2 linked regions of the Caenorhabditis elegans genome follow. The protein of the gene in region 1 interacts with the protein of each later gene in a pairwise test. Each region holds a gene or a part of one and is shown on either strand. Other genes may lie near its edges. The genes, in order: fbxa-153 and unc-13.

What was found.
Region 2: the proteins of fbxa-153 (region 1) and unc-13 interact in a two-hybrid assay, tested with the Caenorhabditis elegans proteins (one study listed by BioGRID).

What each region holds. Positions count from the first base shown.
Region 1 is NC_003283.11:15,603,565-15,615,328, reverse strand, and holds fbxa-153 (F-box domain-containing protein), read left to right. Parts: upstream 1-4,944; 5' UTR 4,945-4,948; coding exon 4,949-5,145; intron 5,146-5,191; coding exon 5,192-5,269; intron 5,270-8,237; coding exon 8,238-8,877; intron 8,878-9,377; coding exon 9,378-9,599; 3' UTR 9,600-9,656; downstream 9,657-11,764. Other genes in the region: str-263 (Serpentine receptor class r-10), read right to left, coding at 457-518, 566-872, 1,035-1,311, 1,364-1,442, 1,876-2,143; str-12 (Seven TM Receptor), read right to left, coding at 2,738-2,829, 2,879-3,056, 3,102-3,498, 3,561-3,639, 3,685-3,775, 3,822-4,025; fbxa-154 (F-box domain-containing protein), read left to right, coding at 10,275-10,477, 10,519-10,596, 10,762-10,962, 11,010-11,093, 11,163-11,764.
Region 2 is NC_003279.8:7,418,432-7,428,048, reverse strand, and holds the start of unc-13 (Phorbol ester/diacylglycerol-binding protein unc-13), read right to left. Parts: upstream 5,265-9,617; coding exon 5,192-5,264; intron 5,092-5,191; coding exon 5,062-5,091; intron 3,116-5,061; coding exon 3,016-3,115; intron 2,721-3,015; coding exon 2,610-2,720; intron 2,377-2,609; coding exon 2,246-2,376; intron 1-2,245.

The sequences.
Region 1 (11,764 bases):
CATTTGTTGCGGTTGTTTATTTTGGAATCAAATGCTATCAGTATATATCACAGCAACTTGGAAATGTATCCGCACAGTCACAGGCAACCAAGACTATGCAAGTTCAACTTTTCTACTCTCTAATCATTCAATCCGTGATTCCTTCTTTCTTAATGTATTTGCCTGCTGGTATTGTGTTTTCAATTCCTATTCTTTTTCCTATTCTTAATCTGGGTTATGATGTGAAATTTTCGTTTATTTCCTACACCATTGCAATCTACCCAGCAATTGACCCACTTCCAACCATTTTGATGATTAAGAGCTATAGAAACGGTTTGATTGATCTAATGAGGTGTCGCAAGAAGAATCAAATCACGGCTAGTTCTAACAAAAATATATTCGTAACTTTCTAGTTTACGTATAATGTTATTCTTCCTATCCGTCAGGTTCAATAAATTGTACCACAAGCAGGAGGATTTAAACTGTCCGAGTATGTGGTTGTACCGAACCGGCTCGCGGTTTGAAGCATCGGAAAAATCCTGAAAAGCGTTTTTTTATTGGCAAGTCAAAAGTTGTTCGCACCTACCCAAAATTGCCTGCCTGTAGTTTTTAATAATACAAAAGTTGGGGAGTGGATCCAAAACCGGATACAATAAAATAGTCACTGTAGGTATTTCTCCAAGCAACTCGAAGGAATAGTCAAAAATTGAGAAAGAAAATGCAGCGCAGGCAGGAATATGCATCAGGATTACTGGAATTATTGTCTGGAATACTAAAGCCCAAAACAGCTGGGAGTTGAGTGACGATTCGGCAGAAGAAGAGATTGATGACAGGGTGTTAATTGTTTTGTAGATACGGTAGCCACAGTAGAATACCGTCAAGAAACTGAGATTCTAAATGAAGTAACATGAGAGCTTGATCCTTAGCCCAAGCCTAAGCCTAAGCCTGAGCCTAAGGCTTAACCTAAGCCTAAGCCTAAACTTAAGTCTAAACCTAAGCCTAAGCTTAATCCTAAGCTTAGGCCTAAGCCTGAATCTAGGCATAAACCAACTTACAATGAGTATTAACATAAATGACAGAGCAATAAATGAATTCCAATTATAATGAAATCCTCCATTTTCATCAGGAAAACGAAAAAAAGAGCCTATATATTTGATATCAGGTAGATTCAAATTTTTGAGTGGCAAATATTGACGTGTCAAATATTCATCTGCATAAATGTTCGAACCACATAAATATGCAGTTGAAGTTGTCCAAGAGCATCCAATTAGTATTGTAAATAATATCAATAATAGTATCTTTCTCACGTGGTTTTGAAAAATTAAAGGACTTCTAAAATTTTACAAAATTTTGAGAATGAAAAAGTGCAAGAAGAAATTCCTACTTTTCCACAACTAGATGTCTGTAGACAAAATGGATTGCGAAAATTGCCAACGACATACCGAATAAAGAGCAATATGCAACTGAAAATAGGATATTTTTAGGAGTTTTTAGTGAGAAATATCTGGATCGTGTGAAGAAAACTTTAAAAAAATGGAAATATGACATTTTTTCATTGAAAATTAGACATTTTAAAAGTGGAGTAGCAAAATCTGAGCTTTGCTTTTTTAGACCCAAATGACCCAAAACTACCTAATTTCGTAATGAGACATTCTGAAATTATTGTTAAAGAGTTATGATGGTTCAAAATTTTAGAATATTCCTATTTTCAGCTAAAATCTCAATTTTTCCCTATTGTCAGTGTCGCAGCGGACGGAACTGATTTTATTATCCTTTATTAATTATTATCCTCCAATGTTTGTAAAACGTTTATTAGCTTTTTAAATAAATTCATATTTGTGCACCCATCGGCTGAAAATAAAAACGTCCTGAAAACATTATTGTATATGAACCTACCAGTTGCACAAGTAGCGACAAATTCGGGAACAAAAGTAGAATTCAAATTGATAATAATCAAGAACACAGAATCTTTACTAAAACATTCTGGAGTGGTCAATAAGTCCAGTAAAGAATAAAGAATCTCAAAAACTGCAATGTATATCATGAGAATTTTGTAGTTCCCTAATTTCTTTGGCGATTTTTTCCAAATTAAAATAATAAGGATGGCGTTGTTCAGCAATCCTAAGGAGGCCAAAAATCGCTGAAAAATCACACGTGCCGGCATGGAACGCTTTTTTCTGTTTTGTTAACGACTCTAGATCGACAACATTTGTATCTGTCAGATGGCTACGAAATGATTTCCTGTCTACCAAAAAATATCACATGTTTTGTAGCTGCGTGTTATTTGAGAATATTATTTGGAAATTTCTGTTAGGATTCAATAGTTTTGAGTCAATATAGATTTTTCCAGCAAAAAATGCAGGGACGGATTCCGAAGAACACACAGAAAGCATTTTTGGTGGACAGGAAATTGGAAGTGATCGAAGAGTAACACAAAGTGTCTACCATTTTGATCACTGTTTTGTAACGGTACCGAATATTTGATTCAGACTCGAAATGACCCAAAACACCAAATTTATAATGATCCTTCTCATTTTTAAATGTAATTAGGCAATTATTTTTCATTCTCCAAATTTTTTTATTTGAATCTTGCAGTGTTTTCAGATAAAACATTTATTAAGGATATTTTTTTAGTTGGGGACAGAATATAAACGGAGAAGGGAACGAACTAAATTATTAAACAAATTGCAAGATATTTCGTGAGGTCACGGGGGGGGGGCAATAGAGAAAATATTTTTCATGAAATTTTAGTAAGCTATTAAGTAATTTGACGAGAACTTGTAATTCCAGATGGTTGTACTCTAAACTGTATGGTTTCCTTCAAACCCTTAGAAAAGGCCGCTCGAGTTCCTAAAAAAAATTGTATGATCAGGTACTTTTTCAATTTCACAATTCTTACTTTTGACAGTATTCTTGTACTCCGACACAACGAACATGACAATAAATGAATCTGCAGCAGGATACAATGTGAAGCTGCATAACATGACACCAGATGGGAGGCTGACGTCTAGGTGAAACAGAGGAAGAAATATTATAATTGTGATGGGAATGAATAATATGATTGTAGGAGTGGTTATCTGAATTTCATGTGAACTTGGACGTTTTTTTTAATACATTCTAACCTGAAGCACGAGAGTTTTGAAAAACTGTTTGTGATGTTTTCGAAGAGTCTCGGAAAAATTCTTAATTTTATCCTCCATTTTTGTATGCATTGACCATCCACAGTAGAACATGATAGCATATTGAAAGTTGACAATTGAACAAATATTAAATATTCCCATAACATTTCTCCATCTTACTGATCCATCCACAGGATCGTAGGCAACTATGGCCATAGCTGGAAGCTCACTGATATTCGCATTATATCTGAGAAGCATATCTTCACGAAGATATTCATCAGTTATTTCGTCTCTTGCCAAAAAAAAGTAGGTTCCAAGAGAATATTGAAAGCCGAAAAACGCGCAATAGAAGAACCAAATAAGAGAATAGCATCCGTTGAAGTAGGCAAGTTTGTTCGTACTGAAATTTTTTAGAATTGTTTCAAGCTTGAAAGCGCATTTCTGAAATGTGAAATTTCTTACTCAAAAACTGCCCAATATCGATATATGAAATGCACTGATAATAGAGACATGGTTGCCGAGTGGAAAAATGTGTAACCGGCTAAATATTTTTTTTTAATGTTTAAAAGGGTATATCAATGCTAACCCAGTGGAATATTTCTCGACCATGATCCACTTAAACCAAAAGATTCTTCAAAACTGTAGAATAGAAAGCTAGCTTTATAGTTGTGAACATTCTGAATTAATAACATTTTCAGATTTTGCCACAAAGCGTATTATTACCGGGTACACAATTATCTCTACAGTTGCAAAAATCATTCCCAGCATTGTGAACGCACTGATCAGGTACTTGTAAGATCCGAAATTTTTCTGAGCACCGAAATAGTTCAAGAACAGTAGGCACAGGCCAGACATAAATGTTGTAACGAATCCAAGTTTTGGAATAAAATGGGTCACGTGTATCCAGAAAACGTATGATTCAGACATTTTGAAGAATCTTTGACAGTTGATAAATCACAATACGTCTTATTCAGTGGTATATATACTGATTGTATTGTATTCCATCCGTATATCTGCTGTAAATGTGACTACAAAATATTGTTGTTGCCGTCTGAATTCTAATTGATCCCAAGAACCAAATCATGTCTTGCCACGAAAACGGAAATATGTTCATGAAATTTTGTTGCAGGAAATTCAAACTAGATGACACATACCTGAAAATACAACTAACTTTTGAAAAGCGCCATCTATCAAGATAGGTATTGATTTTTTTAAAATAGATTTGTTAGTACCCTCGTTCCCAAACTTTCATTCCGAAGATCATGGCATCGGAATTCAGACAGTCAATATCAATAACAATATATTGTATGATCCAATTTCCACCAAAAATGACGTCAGAAAAATGTCTGAAATCATGAGATTTCAGGGCATCAATTCAATTTTTCAGCACTACACAATGATCAAACTTCGTTCGGCTTATGGAAACGCCACGTGCTCTCTCGTTAAACTTTCGAAACTCAATGACAATTTCTGCTCAAACTCCGAGCCTTGTGTTCAGTGTAATCAATATTTTTTGATGAAGTCGTCGATCTACTGAAACTTTAGAAGCAATTTATCGCCCACTTCCACTTGCTCTTTCGATGTTGGACCTATGTAAAAGGAAATATGTGTCCCCACAGGGGGACTCATTTGACCGCTCCTCTCCCCCTCCTCTCCAGTGTCTACTACCGTTTCCCTGAGTCTCTCAAGGGTTTCCCCATCTCTTATTTACTATTTCATCATCAGGCACCCCAGCAATTGCATATACATTTGCATAATTTCTCGAGATTGCTATTGCACTTTTTTTGGTTGTTTTTTTTCTGTTCTTTGTAATTTGCAATTTTGAAATTTTAAAGCCGTCTTTTTTAGAAATGACTGAATCAGTACTGGACAATCCAATTTTCGTTCGATCCTGTATTCTCTACGAAGCTCTTCACCGAAAGCCGATCGACGAGAGCTACAAGAATTTTTGCGAAAAACTAGGCGATGACGTCATGGACTATGTGGATTTCGAGTTTTGGTTCTATCGATTTTATGGAGGAAATCATGATTTGAATGATGATCGAATGTAAGTTTAATATTTTAAAACTTTTTTATTAATTAATGAATTTCAGGTTGGAATTCAAAAGTTTGTCAGACTTGCCCATCGAAATATTTCATAGGATTTTAAATGAACTGGATTTTCGCGATAGGTAAATTTCGAGTTTTTCAAAATTATTTTCTATTTCAAATTTTGATCCAAAATTTTTAGTTATCGAAATCAGAATATCCTCTTTGTTAAAGGACTAGCGGGCCTATGGGCCCGCCAGCCCTTCGGGAATGGGGATAGGGTTAATTCGCTCTAAGTTATTAGCAAGGTAGCTGGCGCAGGTTCTCGGCTTCGCCTCGAACCTGTTAACGGGTTATTCGAAATCTCTTTGAAATTGTTTCAGGAGTGGGGTATATGTTTAGAAAACTTGACTATTCAAGTTTGAGGCTTCTCCTCGAAGCTCTTACTGTGTAAAGTGAAATCTCTTTAAACTTTGATTCATTGCTCCAGGACCGACACTGTACGAATAACTTAGGCTGAGATTTTGTTCAAGAATAATTTGAATGTATTCAATAAAATAAGCGTGTTTTCAATCATCACTGTGAACTACAAAAAACGGTGAAGGAAAAGGAAAACTCATGAATACGGCCTGCTCTGCTTGGAATAGGATTAAAGCCAGCCCACAGTTTTCAAGAGTATTCGGGCCTGCGGCCCTCAAACCTGGTTATTAGGCTTGAGTGAATATCATATCTGCTTAGAATATGATCAAAGCCAGCCCATAGTTTCCAAGAGTGTTCGGGCCTGCGGCCCTCGAACCTGGTTGTTAGGTTTGAGTAAATAACAACCACGTCGCAGGCCTACAGCCTGCTCTGCTTGGAATAGGATTAAAGCCAGCCCACAGTTTTCAAGAGTATTCGGGCCTGCGGCCCTCAAACCTGGTTATTAGGGTTGAGTGAATAACATATCTGCTTAGAATAGGATCAAAGCCAGCCCATAGTTTCCAAGAGTGTTCGGGCCTGCGGCCCTCGAACCTGGTTGTTAGGTTTGAGTAAATAACAACCGCGTCGCAGGCCTACAGCCTGCTCTGCTTAGAATAGGATCAAAGCCAGCCCACAGTTTCCAATATTGTTGATAGCAAATCTGCGACTTGCCAGGCTTAGCAGTGGGTAGGGCGTAGATCGTAAGAGAGCGAAATTTCTATTTCAATTTAGTGTTTAAACCAAAATCGTATGGTGTTTTCAAATTCGAAAAATAACCAAAAAATAAACATTTCACTTTTTTGGAAAATCGTGAACGCCTGTGGGCCCCCAGCCCTTCGGGAATGGGGATTGTTTTAGAAAACTGAAAATAATAAAAGCTTGCTAAATCAAACTTATCTAAGAGTAATCGCATATCAGGCCTCCGGCCTGGCTTGGTATAATGATTTAAGGTTGACTGCGTCTTCTAAGAGTAAGAGTGCCTGCGGCACTTAATCCAGACAATCTGGGCTTGAAACAGTTGTAATTGCACAGCAGGCCTTCGGCCTGCAATGCCTGAAATAGATGTTCAAAGTGAACTGAATATTCTTAGAGTTAAAGTGCCTTTCTATGTTTTTTTGGGAAGAAAACATTTTCCAGCCACCCGCACGCATGCAGCAGTGAGGAGAGGTAAGGAGTTATGCACTAAGACTTCAATTCGTCATAACTTTGCTCATAGTAGAAGTTTGAAAAAAATAAAATAATATTTGAAATTGGCGTAAAAAGTAGAATAACACAGCGGTTATTATTTTAAAAATAACAAAAATTGAAACATATCACCTTCTGGGAAGGCCTGGAAGCTCAAAACTTCCACAAATGTGCTGAAAGTTGTCAAGACCGACCAAATTTAGTTTGTCTACCTTGCTTTAGTGAAAATTATCAAAATTAAAACATAAAATGAAAAGGATATTTGAAAACTTGTCCAGGAACAAAGGAAAACTGGATTTCCACATGCAAAAATTAAATAACCTATCTCCGCGAAAAATGATCGGATCGAGCTGTGATTTGAGATCCCATTTTAAATCATTCTATTAATTCCAAATTTAACATAAAAACCGGAACGATAGTGGAAAGTTTGTGAATTTTATGGAAAAATGTAAATTGTTTGAAAGAAGTGTTCATTTTTTCTATTTTTGAGACTATTATTTACCTTTTTTGAAACAAAAAGTTATATTTTCCGCTTCCTCTCGATGTGATGAACATTTTTCCAAAAAAAATTTTGAAAAAGAAGCAAGACTAACGGAGATATGACCGAAACAATGGTGAAAATGTGGATGAAAACACACCAAATATGAAAAGGGGAGGTGGGTGTGTGTGTGTGAGAAAAGGGGGGAGGTGCAGAAATTTTAGCAAAACTTTAATTATCGTTTTAAAAATAACGAATAGAGATATCACAATGAACTTAGATACAGTGGATAGGTATTGAAAAGGAGAACGTAAGTTTCGAGTCTCAAACGTTTTGAACATAAACTCGAATTTTCCTTCAATTTAAAGTGGTTTTCGGCCAGTACTTCGGTGTGCGCAAAAACAAGAAGGGTGTGGTTTTCCGCTTGTGGAGCCGACAGGATGATCCAAAATCAACCCCCTTTTAGATAAACACACGTCGCTATATTTTGTGAACGTGGAGAAAAAAGAATTTCAAAAATCGGTTCAGTGAGAGCCGAGATATAAACGTTCAAAGTTGTTGTTCCATTTTTTCGGACATTTTTTGAACATTTTTTGAACACCGAAAACGCGTGTGTGTGGCAAGATGGGGGTTTTAGGAAGGAGGCAGAAAATAAAGCCAAATTAAATACATTTCTGAAACATGAGCTCCTCCCACATCTTGGCAAATCCCCCCAAATTAGGCATGATCCAAGCGGATCTTATTTGGGGATTTCCTATACATATTCTGGAAAGTTTTACTACACAATTGTTTCAAAAAGTGAACTCACAAAGTCCCGGAAAATTTGAATACTGCGCTGCAATACCAAGAAAGGGGTGGCGCTTTACTAATTTGTTCGGCTCATATTTTTGGAAAAAAGTAATTCTCTCACTAAAAAACAACACAAAACATCTCCGGAAATGAGAGTCCCAAAAATTGGCTACCTATTGGCTAACTGTAACATTTTTCAGAATGATCCTTCATAAAGTTTCCCAAACCCTGCGATCAGTTGTCGGGGATTTTGAAGTCATATGTCATAAGGAAGTAAGTCTCAGACTGTGCAGAGATTGGTCGATTCTGAATTTTTCTCATCACAACGTCAAATACCAACGATGTGATGGTGGTTGTATGGTGAAGTATGAAGATGTCGACAAAGGTGTTCCGTTAGGAGATCAGCTGGAATTGGCACTGCATGATTTATCAAATTCGATGAAGCATCCGAAACTTCAACTCAACAGTTTCGCGATCACATTTTCAAGTGCCCTTGAGCAAGACGCCCGGAAGAAGGTGATCGAGACTTTTCATTCTTGGAAATGGCCGAGAATCAGAAACTTCACGTTTAACGGAATTCACCAATCGGAAATTAAGACCACTTTAGGTTGCCTCAATTCGGAAGCAATCCAGACGATTTCACTAGATGTTTCTCGAGTTTCAGAAGATTTTGTGATGAATACAGGTGTCTATAGTTTGGAACAATGGAAAAGGGCAAAATCGATTTCAATTTGTGGTGACTGCAAACTTTCGATTCCTTTTGCAAATTTGGCTCATTTGGCGGGATTCGAGATATCACTAAAGTCCTTCACAAGAGAATATGCAGTGGAAATTAAGAATGTGAGTTTTTAACATTATATCGAAAGAGAACAAGGTGTTGAAATGTTTTCTTTTATTTTACTTTGAATGACCCACAAATTTTTCTTGGCAGTGTGCTAACTTTTCCGACGGCTGTGGCACAAAAAAAAAAGAAAATTGGGGATTTTAGTTGAAATTAGGCCATAGTTTCAAGTTTTTGACCCGCCATAAACAAATTTTACTGATTTTTTAGAAGTGTCTCGTTATGAAATTCGGTGTTTTGAAGCTAGTTTTTGGAAATTATTTTTATTTCGAGCCGGAATTGGTGAAAACTCAGTTTTCACTCATTTTTTTTTTGGTATTCGTCGACCTAAAAATAAGTTTTTTATCCTTTCATGTTGTGTTTAAAAGTACAATTTTTCCACATTGTAATGTAAATGAAAACAATTTTCCAAAACTTTTCGAAAAGCTTTTAATAATATTTGGTAATTTGAGCATCATGTGAGCATTACAATAATTTACAATCAGCTTAATTCTTTCAGTATCTCGACAACTTTCCAAACAAAATACAATCGGGAACTTTTCGAAGCATCATCACGGACCCCATCGAAATCGGGAAGGTCTTCAACCCAGATTATGCACTTGGCTCCGAAAACTCACTGGATTACAATACATCAAATTTCTGTTATACTATCCAATGCGGTCCTTACAGTTTTCGAATTTTGAGAAAAGCTGATAAACAGTCGATTCCTGTAGTTATGTAAATTGAATATTCTGTAAATACTTGAACCGTAGTTTTAGTGAATAAATTATTTGATCTCAACTTTTGCGAGTTTTCAAAAAATTGAAATAAGGCTTTTTGGTAAAGCTTTTTTCGAGACTGGGTTTTTCGGGGCCCGGTAATGTTTAGGGCGTAGCCTATCCTGTATTTTTCCTGCACAAAACAATCACTCTAAAAAACCCAAGGCTGGTTCCAATAAAAAGTTGTATATTCAGATGGTCATATTTGATGAAACATAGACATTTTTGCCAGATGTATAATTGTACGTTTCGGTGCCCACCCCCTCCGCTCTTGGTATCACGAGTTCCTTTCAACAGATGTAAGTCTCACAATCACACATATTCTCCTTTCTAATCTAGCCGCCTTTCTCGTTTTTCAAGCCTGACGATTTTCAAGACAGAAGCTGCCCAAGTTGTTTGGAAAGTTTGCCATAAATATTATGAGGAAGCCGAAAACAACTATTTTTTAAATGTGTAAAATTTTCCACAGCTGTTCAAACAACTATTTTTTGTAACAGCTGAGCTTTTGGACCTCACTACCCAGCACGGTTAACAGATGTATTCACCATCTCACATGCTTCATCCAATAGCTCCGTCATTTTGCTCCACTTTTGGAATACACTTCTTACAGCTCTAACCCAATCACTTACGGCTCAAACATGGTTGCCACTCCTCTTCATAACATGAAAATAGCAAGTCGCGCCGTTCTTCTCTACCAGGTGCTCGACAAGAAGGGCGTATTAGAAACTTTCTCGGAACTTAAGCATCATTCTCCTGGAAATGAAATTGTCAGATTTTCAGACGCAGAGTTCTGGATTTCGCGATTCGAGAGCGGAAACCACGATTTGAATTATGATAAGAGGTAACGCCAACTATAGTGAGTTGTAGTTGTTATTCTCTCAGATTGGAACCGCTATCTGCAATTTGCTCTCCTATACAGATTCTTCGAAAAACTGCACTACGGCTACGCAATGTTTTTCGGTTAGTTTTTGGTCTCGGCGATTTCCGGGACCATTTTAGATCTGCTCTAAGAAGATGGTAGTTTTTATACTTTTGCTTGAAATTTTGCTCGAATTATCTCAATCCCTAAAAAAATTTTGCTCTCGAAACCGGGGAGGTTGCGAAATATTACTAAATACTTTCCAGACCCCGTAAAGTAATCCACATCTCCGACAGCCAGGTCGCAATGCGAGCTTGCATACTTTTTGACGCCCTAAACGAGATACCAATATTCGAATCGTATCGTAAATTCTGTAGACTTGTTTCCAACTCCATGGAATACCGCGATTACGAGTTTTGGTACTACCTGTTCTACCATGGAAATAAGGAATTGCATTATGTTCAAAGGTTGGGAAATTATTTTGAAAACTTTCAAAAAAGTGCTCGAATTTCAGTGAGGAGCCACCGCAAACTTCTTTTGTCGACTTACCGATACAGATCGTCAGCGATATTTTGGATGGGTTAACTGTACTGGATCGGTGAGCATGACATATATATATATATATATATATATATATATGGACCTATTTCTACCTCATAAGTTACAGAATGATAGTCCGAAGAGTCTCCCGCAAGCTTGAAGCTCTTGTTGATAAAAATCACCACAGTATCAAGAGTGTTGCTGCCCATTCGCTTCACGATGAATCCGAATGCAAACTGGTCATTGATGGTGATTTGGTGGAATACTACAATTCTCCAGAGGGATGCAAGATAAGGAAAGATTGTAGAATGAATGGAATACTCATTGGTAGTGGTGACTGTTTGGAACTTGTCATGGCAGATTTAAAAGCAATTCTCCAAAATCCGAAGCTCAAATTGAGAATGTTTAATATGAATATGAGATGTGATATTAAGAGTGAGGAATATCGCGTCGAGTATGGCACAAGACTCAAGAAGGTTCTGAAATTGTTGCCTCATTTGTTGGATGTGAAGAAGTTGAAACTTGATAGCAACTTCTTGAGGGATAAGGAAAACAATTACGAACTTGCGTCAGTGCTTTCTCATTTCAAACCTGGAACGCTTGAACATATGATCTTGGGGTTCCATCGCGAGTCGGATATTCCCGGGTTCGAAAAAGCTGTCCGTTTGGAACAATGGTTACAGGTTAAAAACATTAAAATGTATTGGAAGGTCGATGGGCGGATCCCTC
Region 2 (9,617 bases), on another chromosome or scaffold:
GACGAAAATTGAGGAATTAATACTTGCATTCTATAAAAAAATCAAAAATTTTTGAAAATATATTTTATAATTTTAGTACGGAAGGTCATTTTTAATTGTAAATTCAAAAAGCAACAAGCAAACTTATGATTTAACCTATTAAAAAGAAAAACTACCATCATGATTTCCAAAACAAAAAAAAGTGAACTCCGTGATACCGTTGGAAGCTAGCTCCAGAACCGCCGTGCATTATTTGTGAGCAAATCGAAAAGCGAAAAACGGGGAGCAGAGTCAGTCGGCTCGTAATTAGTGTCTTGGCCGGGGGCTTTGTGAAAGATTTATCGCCGAGCTAAATCTGAATACATTCACCTTATTCTCTGTTATTTTACCACCGTTGCATTTTTATTTCTCAAAAATATTGGAATGAAGCAAAAACGAGGTTTTACGGAGTTTTTGGTATTATCGTATTTTTACTAAATTGAGCTGCATCACCAAAACTCGAAAAAAAAACAATTGAAGCTCGGGAAATTTCAAAATGTAGACATCTTCTGAGTAGAAGTTCTTTGAAGTTAAAAGTTTTAAAAATTGAAAATTATCTGAATCTGAGTGGGATTTAGAGACAAGTGGCTGCTTGTGTGATCTGCATTTTCTTCCTCTTCTTCTTTGTCATCGGAGCTCTTGAGCGGCGAATTTGTGCAAAGTATCAAGAGTATTCCCTCATGGGAAGCGTTGTCAGATACTCTCTCACATTTCTTTTCGAGAAATGAAGACTAAAACGGCTATTCCAAATTTTCAGAAATTTTGATTTTTTTGTTCAGATTTCTTTCGGTAACTGACTGGAAACGACTGAACTATTTTTGAACAAATGAATGGAGATTTCAACAAAACAAAACAAAACTTTGAGACATGGATATCGTTTAGAGTAAAAAATAACAAATATTAGTATGTAAACTGAAACAGTGATTTGCAAAAAAAAAATTAGAAAATGCAAAGAATAATCAAGGTTACACTGGGAACTTGGTTCCGAGCTGCTTCAGAAGTTTTAGAGTCATCCTCATAAAATTTTGGCTGCAAAACATGTCTAGTACTAAACCACCTGACATATCTAAAAAATTCCAGTCAAAAAATCAAATTGTTAGAATAAATGCAAAAAATAATTTTGTCAGTTATCATGCTGTAATGAAATTTCAATGTCACACTTGACTAATGAAGAGTCATAAGGGAAGAAAAGGAAAAAAAGATACCATTATAATTTTTTGATAATTTGCTTCTCTATTTTATTTCAAATTTTGTTCGCAAAATGGTTCAAAAAATGTATAGGAAACACGGAGCTTCGAAAAGAGAACTAGAAAGGCTCAGGTGAATCATGGAGACGAAGAAGCCTAAAGTGCTCGACGTTTTTGATGTATGAGGTACACTTGGAATTGTTCAGAGGAGAAACAACGGATGGAACGTGGAATATAAAGAGAGAAGAAGACGTGTCAAGAAACCGATACGATGTGAATGGAAAAATAGAAGGAAACAGTTTTTGAAAGAAAGAAGAAAAGAGAAAAAATTGTAAGCGTTTTAGAAAAAGATATTCCAAAAATTTTATGGGAAAGAACGTTTTGGAATTTGACAGTAACATTTTTAGGTTAAAAATGCATGTCAGAAATCTTATGGTAACAATTAGGTTTCACTAGAATATTGGAAAATGTTCATAAAATTCTAAAAAACTGTAACAGATTGTGTGTCTATCGTGTTGCATGATCAATAACAACGGATCAATCTGATGGAATCTCGTATTTTAGTCTTGCATCCATTTGCTTTACATTGACAACTCTTATCTTAATTGTCGTTGGTTTTTCCAAAACTTTTTCAACAGTAAAATATTATCTAATATTTTTCAGCGTTAAAGATAAGGATTACTTCAACTGTGAATTTATCAGCAAATACAGGAGAATCTGATAATTTTTATTTTGAGCTTGTTACCGCTAACTTCTGAATAGTTTGTTCAGTTTTGAACAATATCAAGATAATTTTGAATTGGTTTAGATTAGGTGTTTCTGAATGCAATTAATTAAGTTAAATTGTAAATTGATTATGAACAGCAATTAGCTCAATGTGCTTCAGCAAGTAGCATGATCAGGCTTTTAGAATATATATATTTAGAAATATATAAGAATATATAATAGCATAAAATAATTAAGATTTAATCACAGAGGAGGGGAATATCAACAAAAATCCATACTATAAGAAATTATAATTCTGAATAACAACCACTCACCAAAAGGAAGCTCAAATCGAACATCAGTCAACAAGTTATGACCTGTTGGACCACGTGTTCCTACAGTTTGACCATTTCTTGTTTCAAGTTCATGATCCATTTGAAGCCATTGACCCGAACCTGCTGCATTGCTGAAAATCAATGGGGTATTTTTAGAAAACTGATACATTAATTTTAAAAGTTAGAAACCACTTCCGCTCAATTACGACAATTATAGGTGGCGAAAACTGAATAATTGCACTTTTCCATTGTAAATAAGAAACGTTCATATTTTTTCGTAAAATTGTATTAAAGTATGTTGCCATTTTAGTATTGGTTTTAGAGTGATTTTAACTGACGACTGGAAATTAAAAAAAAATTTTACCTGTATCTAATCTCCGAAAGTGGCATATAATGAACACCTATTAATTTGTCCCATAAAACGCCTTTGGCCCATAATTCGAGTACCATTCCGTCGTCAGGTCGATTTGTTTCACTGAAATAATTAATTAAATATGAGGTGATGTGGTTTAGCTGAAACCTTAATGTTTGATTAATTGGTTTTCAAATATAATTGTTGTTATTTTAATAAAATAATTGTAAGTGTAATGAAAAAAAAACAAGTAAAACGTTCCAAAACTAAAAAAAGGAGGCAAAATAACACCAATTTACGCATAATGGTATTTTTCCTTCCATAATATCAAATATTACTATTTTCAGCTGTTCTTTTTTTATAACATTTACAAAAATCGGTCTCCTTTACCGTATTTCACCTGTCAATGACAACTTACAAAATGAATTCCTGCTCCCAGCATGGTAAGTTGCCACGCACAGCCACAGTTGTTGATTTTACAGTCTGCAGCTTCACCGTCACGTACGAGTTGAATTCATCTGAGATCAGGCATTTAAATTGTTTTTCAAAAATTTAAAAACTGAAAAAAAACATGCTCTAATGATAGGGAGGGCGCGAAACGTTAATGCTTGTACAAAACCTCTTTAAAATTTATAGAAAATTTCAACTCAATCCAAGTTTTGATAATCAAAATTTTAAAAATCAAAACTTGATAAGACTTTGGTAAAACGAAGGTGAAAAGTTGTTGAGATTTCATTTCCAAAAAGAAATTTGAAAAAATCTAGAGAAGATTATAAATCTGCAAAATCTCTCCAATCCTAAATAAAATCGCAACTTCAAAATTTTTTTACTGCTGGACAACTTATTGGCTAATCCTAAAAATGGGACAGTTGAAAACAATTGGGTCCTAAAACAAGAGTTAGAATGTAACACGTTAACTATAAATATGCTCTCATGAAAATTACTGGGACGCTCAGTTAAACTTTTGTACCCAGGGGAACAATAAAAAAAGAAGCTATATTTTTTTTAGTTGAAAAGAAAAAAAAAAAGAGAACAACGTGAATTATAACTCAATTTCTGGCTCAAACTTGAGTGAAAGATCAAGAATCTTTAAAGTTCTTTCTCATGAGATTTATAGTAAATGTAAAAAGCTACTAAACATTGAACGATTTGTTAAATTTTTTGAACAAGCTGGTTGTATTCTTACTATTACTATATGCTCTTACTATATGCTTTAAAGATGGGGTACTTTTAGCGGGATTTTGTCAACTTACGTTTAGAATGTGGGGTTTTTCGAACTATATGTGTAACTTCAGACACATTCTTTACTACTAATACTTAAAAAAACGAAAACATTTGTTCTATATTCTCAAAATTAAATGAAATATCAAAAATTATTTCAAAAGCATTGGAAATATATGTTTCGCTTAATTTTTAATAATTTTTTAAAATTTTAATTCCATAATTTTTTCTTGAGCTTAACGTACATGATAAATAACAAAGTTTAAGTTTCATTTCATTTTTCTTGGTCTTTAAGCTTCCAGTCCACCGTATCTTGTTTCGTCTCCGGTGCCCTCATTCATTCGTCATTCCATTTCAAACGTTTTCCCCAGTGACTTACTCTCTTGTTTAGAGGTGCCCCCGGTGCTTCTATGTTTAATTTCCTGGCAACTTTTTTCCGGTTTCTTACTTTTTACTTACTCACTTGCTCACGAATGTAGTTAAACTTTTCCTGCCTCTTCAACGACTCTTTTCTCTTATCTTACTCTAAAAAGGTCCCAAAATTTGATTAAAATTTGCCAAAAAAAAGGGATGGGAAAATAGAAGAGGCGGGTGCATACACATACATTCAGAATACTAAGCACATCTTGTACGTGATGTTGAGGTATAAGTTGTGCATTATTTCGTGTGTCATCGAAGCATGAAAACGCGCGTTTCACGATGAGATTTATTATTCGGGAGGTCGCCCCGTGAAACTGGAATGACAGGTGTCACGAATGATGAATTTCTCAGGCGACAACTACAAATCGGAGCAACGCCACGCATGATCGTTTCTCGATTTGCAGAAAGGGATTTATTCAGATTTTTTAGTCTTTCACCCAAAGGAGGTGGACATTTCATTTAAAAAAAGTCAGATCCACATTTCAGACATCTGGCAAGTTAATAGTTTTTTGTTGAGATAAAGTGATGATTCATAAAGTGGAAGAGCCACTTGATTTTCAGTTAGCTCTGACTATGATTTTTTAAAAGTATTTGGAGCAGGAGCATCTTTTGGTTCTATGGTCATCGAGACTAATTGTAACAGTACTGGCACACTGTTACATTTTCAGATTTTTTTCAAAAAATTGGCAGAACTCTCAGAATATTTGTTACATTATCTACTTCAAGTTTCAGGGAATTTCCAGTATTTTTCAAACGAAATAAATTATTTTAAATGAAAACTGAACTATATATTTTAAGTTATAAAATCAATAGAAATACTCACCGACAGCTCCTTGAAGTCGTGCTTTTTTAACTGAAACAATCAATGTTAACATCTCGTCCATAACTGAGTGTCGATGGTCTCGTATATATGTATTCTCGAGACGGCAAGAAGAACACAAATAACAACTCACTGGTAATGCAGAGCAACCTCATGCTCATGCCATCTGAAAGTTGATCATCATTGTAATCTCCAACGTCATCCATCCCTTCTGATTGTTGAAACGTGGCATATTCTTGGGCGATGGTTGAAGAGGAAGCGGCCTCCCCAGATGGGTACGCGCCGCCGACCAGTTGTTCCAATGCCGAGAACAACTTGGTCTCCTGGAGAGTTTTTGGATCAGGATTTTCAGAATTTTAAGGTTTTAGCGAATCAATTAGAGATCAGGTTTAGGTTCAAGTTCCTGGTGCAGAGTTAAAGCTTGAGATCAAGTTTAACCTATAGACAAAAGTTAAACTGAAGGTCAGTGATGAGTGGTACAAATAATTGGATTAAGCAGAAGTAAGTAAGTTCAAAAGAACTAACAGCCTAATCAGACAGATCCAGAGATCTTTGAAATTTGTGTTTTGTAGTTTTTGTTCAAAGAAAGTTATAGATAGAACGTGTTCAAAGCCCCTTAATTTTATATAAAAATTAAATTAAAAACAAAACTCTCAATTCCTACATAACAATGAATAAAAAATTATATGCATGACATGATGAAAAGTCATAAAATACAGAAAAAATGAGCTCCTTTTTTTGCTAAGAAAATGCGTATAGCCTCGAGGTGCCTTCTGCATTATAATGAAAAATGCATCACTTTTTTCTATACTTTTTTTACTATGAAATACGAAAAACTGGGTTAAAAAGTAAATACAAGTTTAGAAAAACTATATTGTTTTACTTCTTTCTCTTGTCAAAGTTGTTTTTATTCTTTAAATGAGAAAATTTCAAGAATGTGTTAGTAACTCAGTGATTTTAACATTCAAAAGTGGAACATAGTGAAAATTTTTTCAAAAAAAAAAAAAAAAAAACGAAATTAAAAAAACGAAATTTTTGTTACCAGTCAAAAAAATTAAAGAGTTTGCAAAATTAAATTTTGGCAGTATAACATCATTTTGACTGAACATTTGAAAAATCTGAAACAATTTTTTAGGGTCTCATTTAAGCACTTTTATTTTTGATTTTGACAAAATCCTGACTGGTGCTACATTATTTTTACAATAAAAAAACAAAACTTCAACATGAACTTCTTATGGACAAAAAAGCTGTAAACTCTTTAATATAATTTTTGTCTAAAATTCCAAACCTAAACGAAAAAATCTTGATCAAACCACAAAAAAAGTTGATTAAGAAAGTCCAAAAAAAGAAACGAACGCAAAATGCGCGAAAAAGTAGCATTTTTTGGAGTATATACTAAAGAAACCAGTGAGATAGTGATTCAAACTAATAGACGCAGAGAACCGGAATAAGTATAACGGAGAGTGTGGAGACGGCGACTGGATGAGCTTGTGCTTTCTTCTTCTTCTGCTCCCGCTCTCTACCCCCTATTCGCCACTCCCCCCTTCGCAAAAATTGAGGACGGAGTAGCAGAAGACGTCGCGGAGCCAAGCTAGAGGAGCACGGAGCACTGAATTCTCGGAGAACCCAGAGATAGTTGCACCCACTACCACCACTCTTCCCTTCACCACAATTTCTCTTTTGGTGTCCCTCTCTCTCTCTTACTTTTTCACCAATTGGGTTTCAGAAATGGACAATAGGAGGACGTTTATATGTGTTTGTGTATGTGGACGGTTCTCACGCTCTAGTGCTCTCCATTCCAATTTCTAGACCTAGATGCCACTCAATGCTTCAAAACAGACTTGCTATGGGAATTCATATCAAATTCTGTGTTCCGATGAGGTTTTAAAATCATACGAAGAACCCATTTTCAAGGGTTGTGTTCCAGAAAAAGATATTTTTAATTATCAAGATGTTTTCTAGGAAATTAGATAGTTTCCAGCATGTTTTAAATATCGAAAATTAGTTCTGAAATTTTTATATTTGAAGAAGAAAATCTGTAAAAGGATCAGTCACAAAAATTATCAAAAAGTTTTTAAATGGATGGTCGTAATGCATCAAACGGTTAAGATGAAGATTCTCTCAGAAATTTTGTGTCTGAATATTTCATATTCTAAATTCTAAAAAAACCCAGCACACTTATCGACATTTTCGAGCATTTTGCATCGAATTTTCTCAAACTGAAACAATTTTCTCGTATTTCTCGAAAGTTACAATAACGCTTTGACATGTTGACGTAAATGTTTACATATTAACAAATATCAAATTGTACCATTTCTCTAACTAAAAAACAAATCATTATAACATAGCAGATGAGAAGGGTTTGATATTTTGAAAGGAAATTTGAAGCCATAATGAAATCAAAATTTCAAAACGGGAGTTTAAAATTTCTAATCACTTGATGAAAACTTACAATCTGAAATCATTTGCATCTCAGAAACCTTTTGAAAATGCGATTTAATTTTTCAAAAAATATTTTGAATAACTTTGGACGGACAATGATGATCGATAAAATGCGACTGCACATAAAATACACAAATCAAACAGCTGAAAAATAATTGAAAATTGTTTTTCACTTGTTCACTATTTATGGATAAATTTTTTGATCGGAAAATTGAAAATAAAAGTTTTGTACAACAAAATTGTTTTATGAGTTGGATATAGCTATAATATATCTTTAATATAATCTTTTAAAAGGAAAAAAGAGAACCAAAAAGAAAAACGTTTTGTTTCATCTCACCATCTCATCATCGTCATTTTTTGTTAGATTTATTCGAGCGGAAAAAACATTTGAGCATTGATAAAAAGCTTTAAATGAAATATTCATCAATTCTGGTGGATTTGAACTTTTCCAATTTGCTCATGTCGAGAAAGCCACAGTGTGTTAGCTTGTAATAACTTAGAATTTGAAATAGCCCAGGTGTGAAAAATTCCATAACAACGATTGATTTCAATTTAAAAATCAATAAATCAATAATTTTTAATTTTTATTACTGATTTGTTAGTGAAAAGTATACATACATAAACTTGATAGAGTAAAAGCGTTCGTTCTTCCGTACAAATTTTGGAACATTTGAAGAAAGGTGTTCTAAATCTCAAAATGGTTTCCTTGCAAAACTTTTCTTTAAAAATGTTTAACACACTGGAACATCTTAGAAAAATAAATCTAGGAATAAAAATTAGCATAGCGTCATTTTTTTTAAAAATTCAATCGCCAAAAGAGATTGTTTTTGCAGAATGAAAAATTGTTTTCTCACTTTGAAGATACGAAGGGATAGAAGATGAAGCAGTCATCATCATTTCCCCAAGTGTCATCTGAATCTCTAATCGTCTTCCGTTCAAGATTAACTTTTAATATCTGCGTGGTAGGCCTAGCTCAATCGTCTTTAATGGAAAGTTGAATATATGGAAAAATATAGAGAAGTTCTTGAAAAAAAACCATTTGAAATTTAAAATAATCTGGTGTTTCATTCTTTTTTTCGAGTTTTAAAGTTTTCCGAGAGAGGAAAAAAACTAACTCATCAAAAATTCATTCAGAAATACGACCCTTTTTCCCAATCTCCAAAACGAAAAAAGCCATCAAACACCACTTTTCACGCTGATCCAATTGATTCTTACCTTTTCTGAAACCTGATCCTAGACTTCCTTTTTTATTTTAAGGGATAGACATGTGAAAATGTTATTCTTGGATTAGGTATGGCCTAATCCTAGCTTTAAACATTAAACCCACATTGTCTATTCCATTACCATCACCCTTACCTGACATGCCACGTGCCATCAATATTCAGAAAAAATAGACGGATAATACGGAACAAAAACGAGAAATTGTCCAACGCGGAACGAACGGGGCAAAATTCAAAAAAAATCAAGAAACAAGATAACAAGAAAAATAGAAAAAAACGAGAGGGGGTCAGAAGGAGTAGAGTAAAAACGGAAAAAAGCAAAAGCAGGAGATGGCGGGGATTTGATTATTTGGCTATAGAGAGCCCACGGAGCTGCTGATGTTCAATTTTCAGATACACCAGGGAGTGATGGTAGCTTGAAAGAACACTTGGTATATAGTGAGAAAAGCTGAATTTTCGCCAAGATTTTATCTTAAAACGGTGGTTGATTGTAAAACTATACAATATATAGGAAAAAGTATGCAATTTTCCACTTTTGGAGAAAATTTACGAGGCTTGAACTTAATTCAAAAACTCAGATTCAATTTTTGTTCCATTTCAAAGGTACAGTTTATTTACGACTTGTTCATCAGTGAGCTCTTCTCATTATTCAAAATGTGGGCGTAACGAATTTGGCACAATGTGCATACCGCGACTCGCGAACTACCAAAACTTGCGCGTCGTTTTCGTGATGCGCACATTGCCCGTTCCTTGATTCTGATGCTTCCATTGAGCTCATGGATATGACAACTTATTTGTGAGACTCCTCTGCAGCTAATTTTCTTGTAGGGTTCAATTTAAAATTTTACCTTTTTTGCCTGAATTCATTGAATATAATGTAACTCTTATGCCCAATTC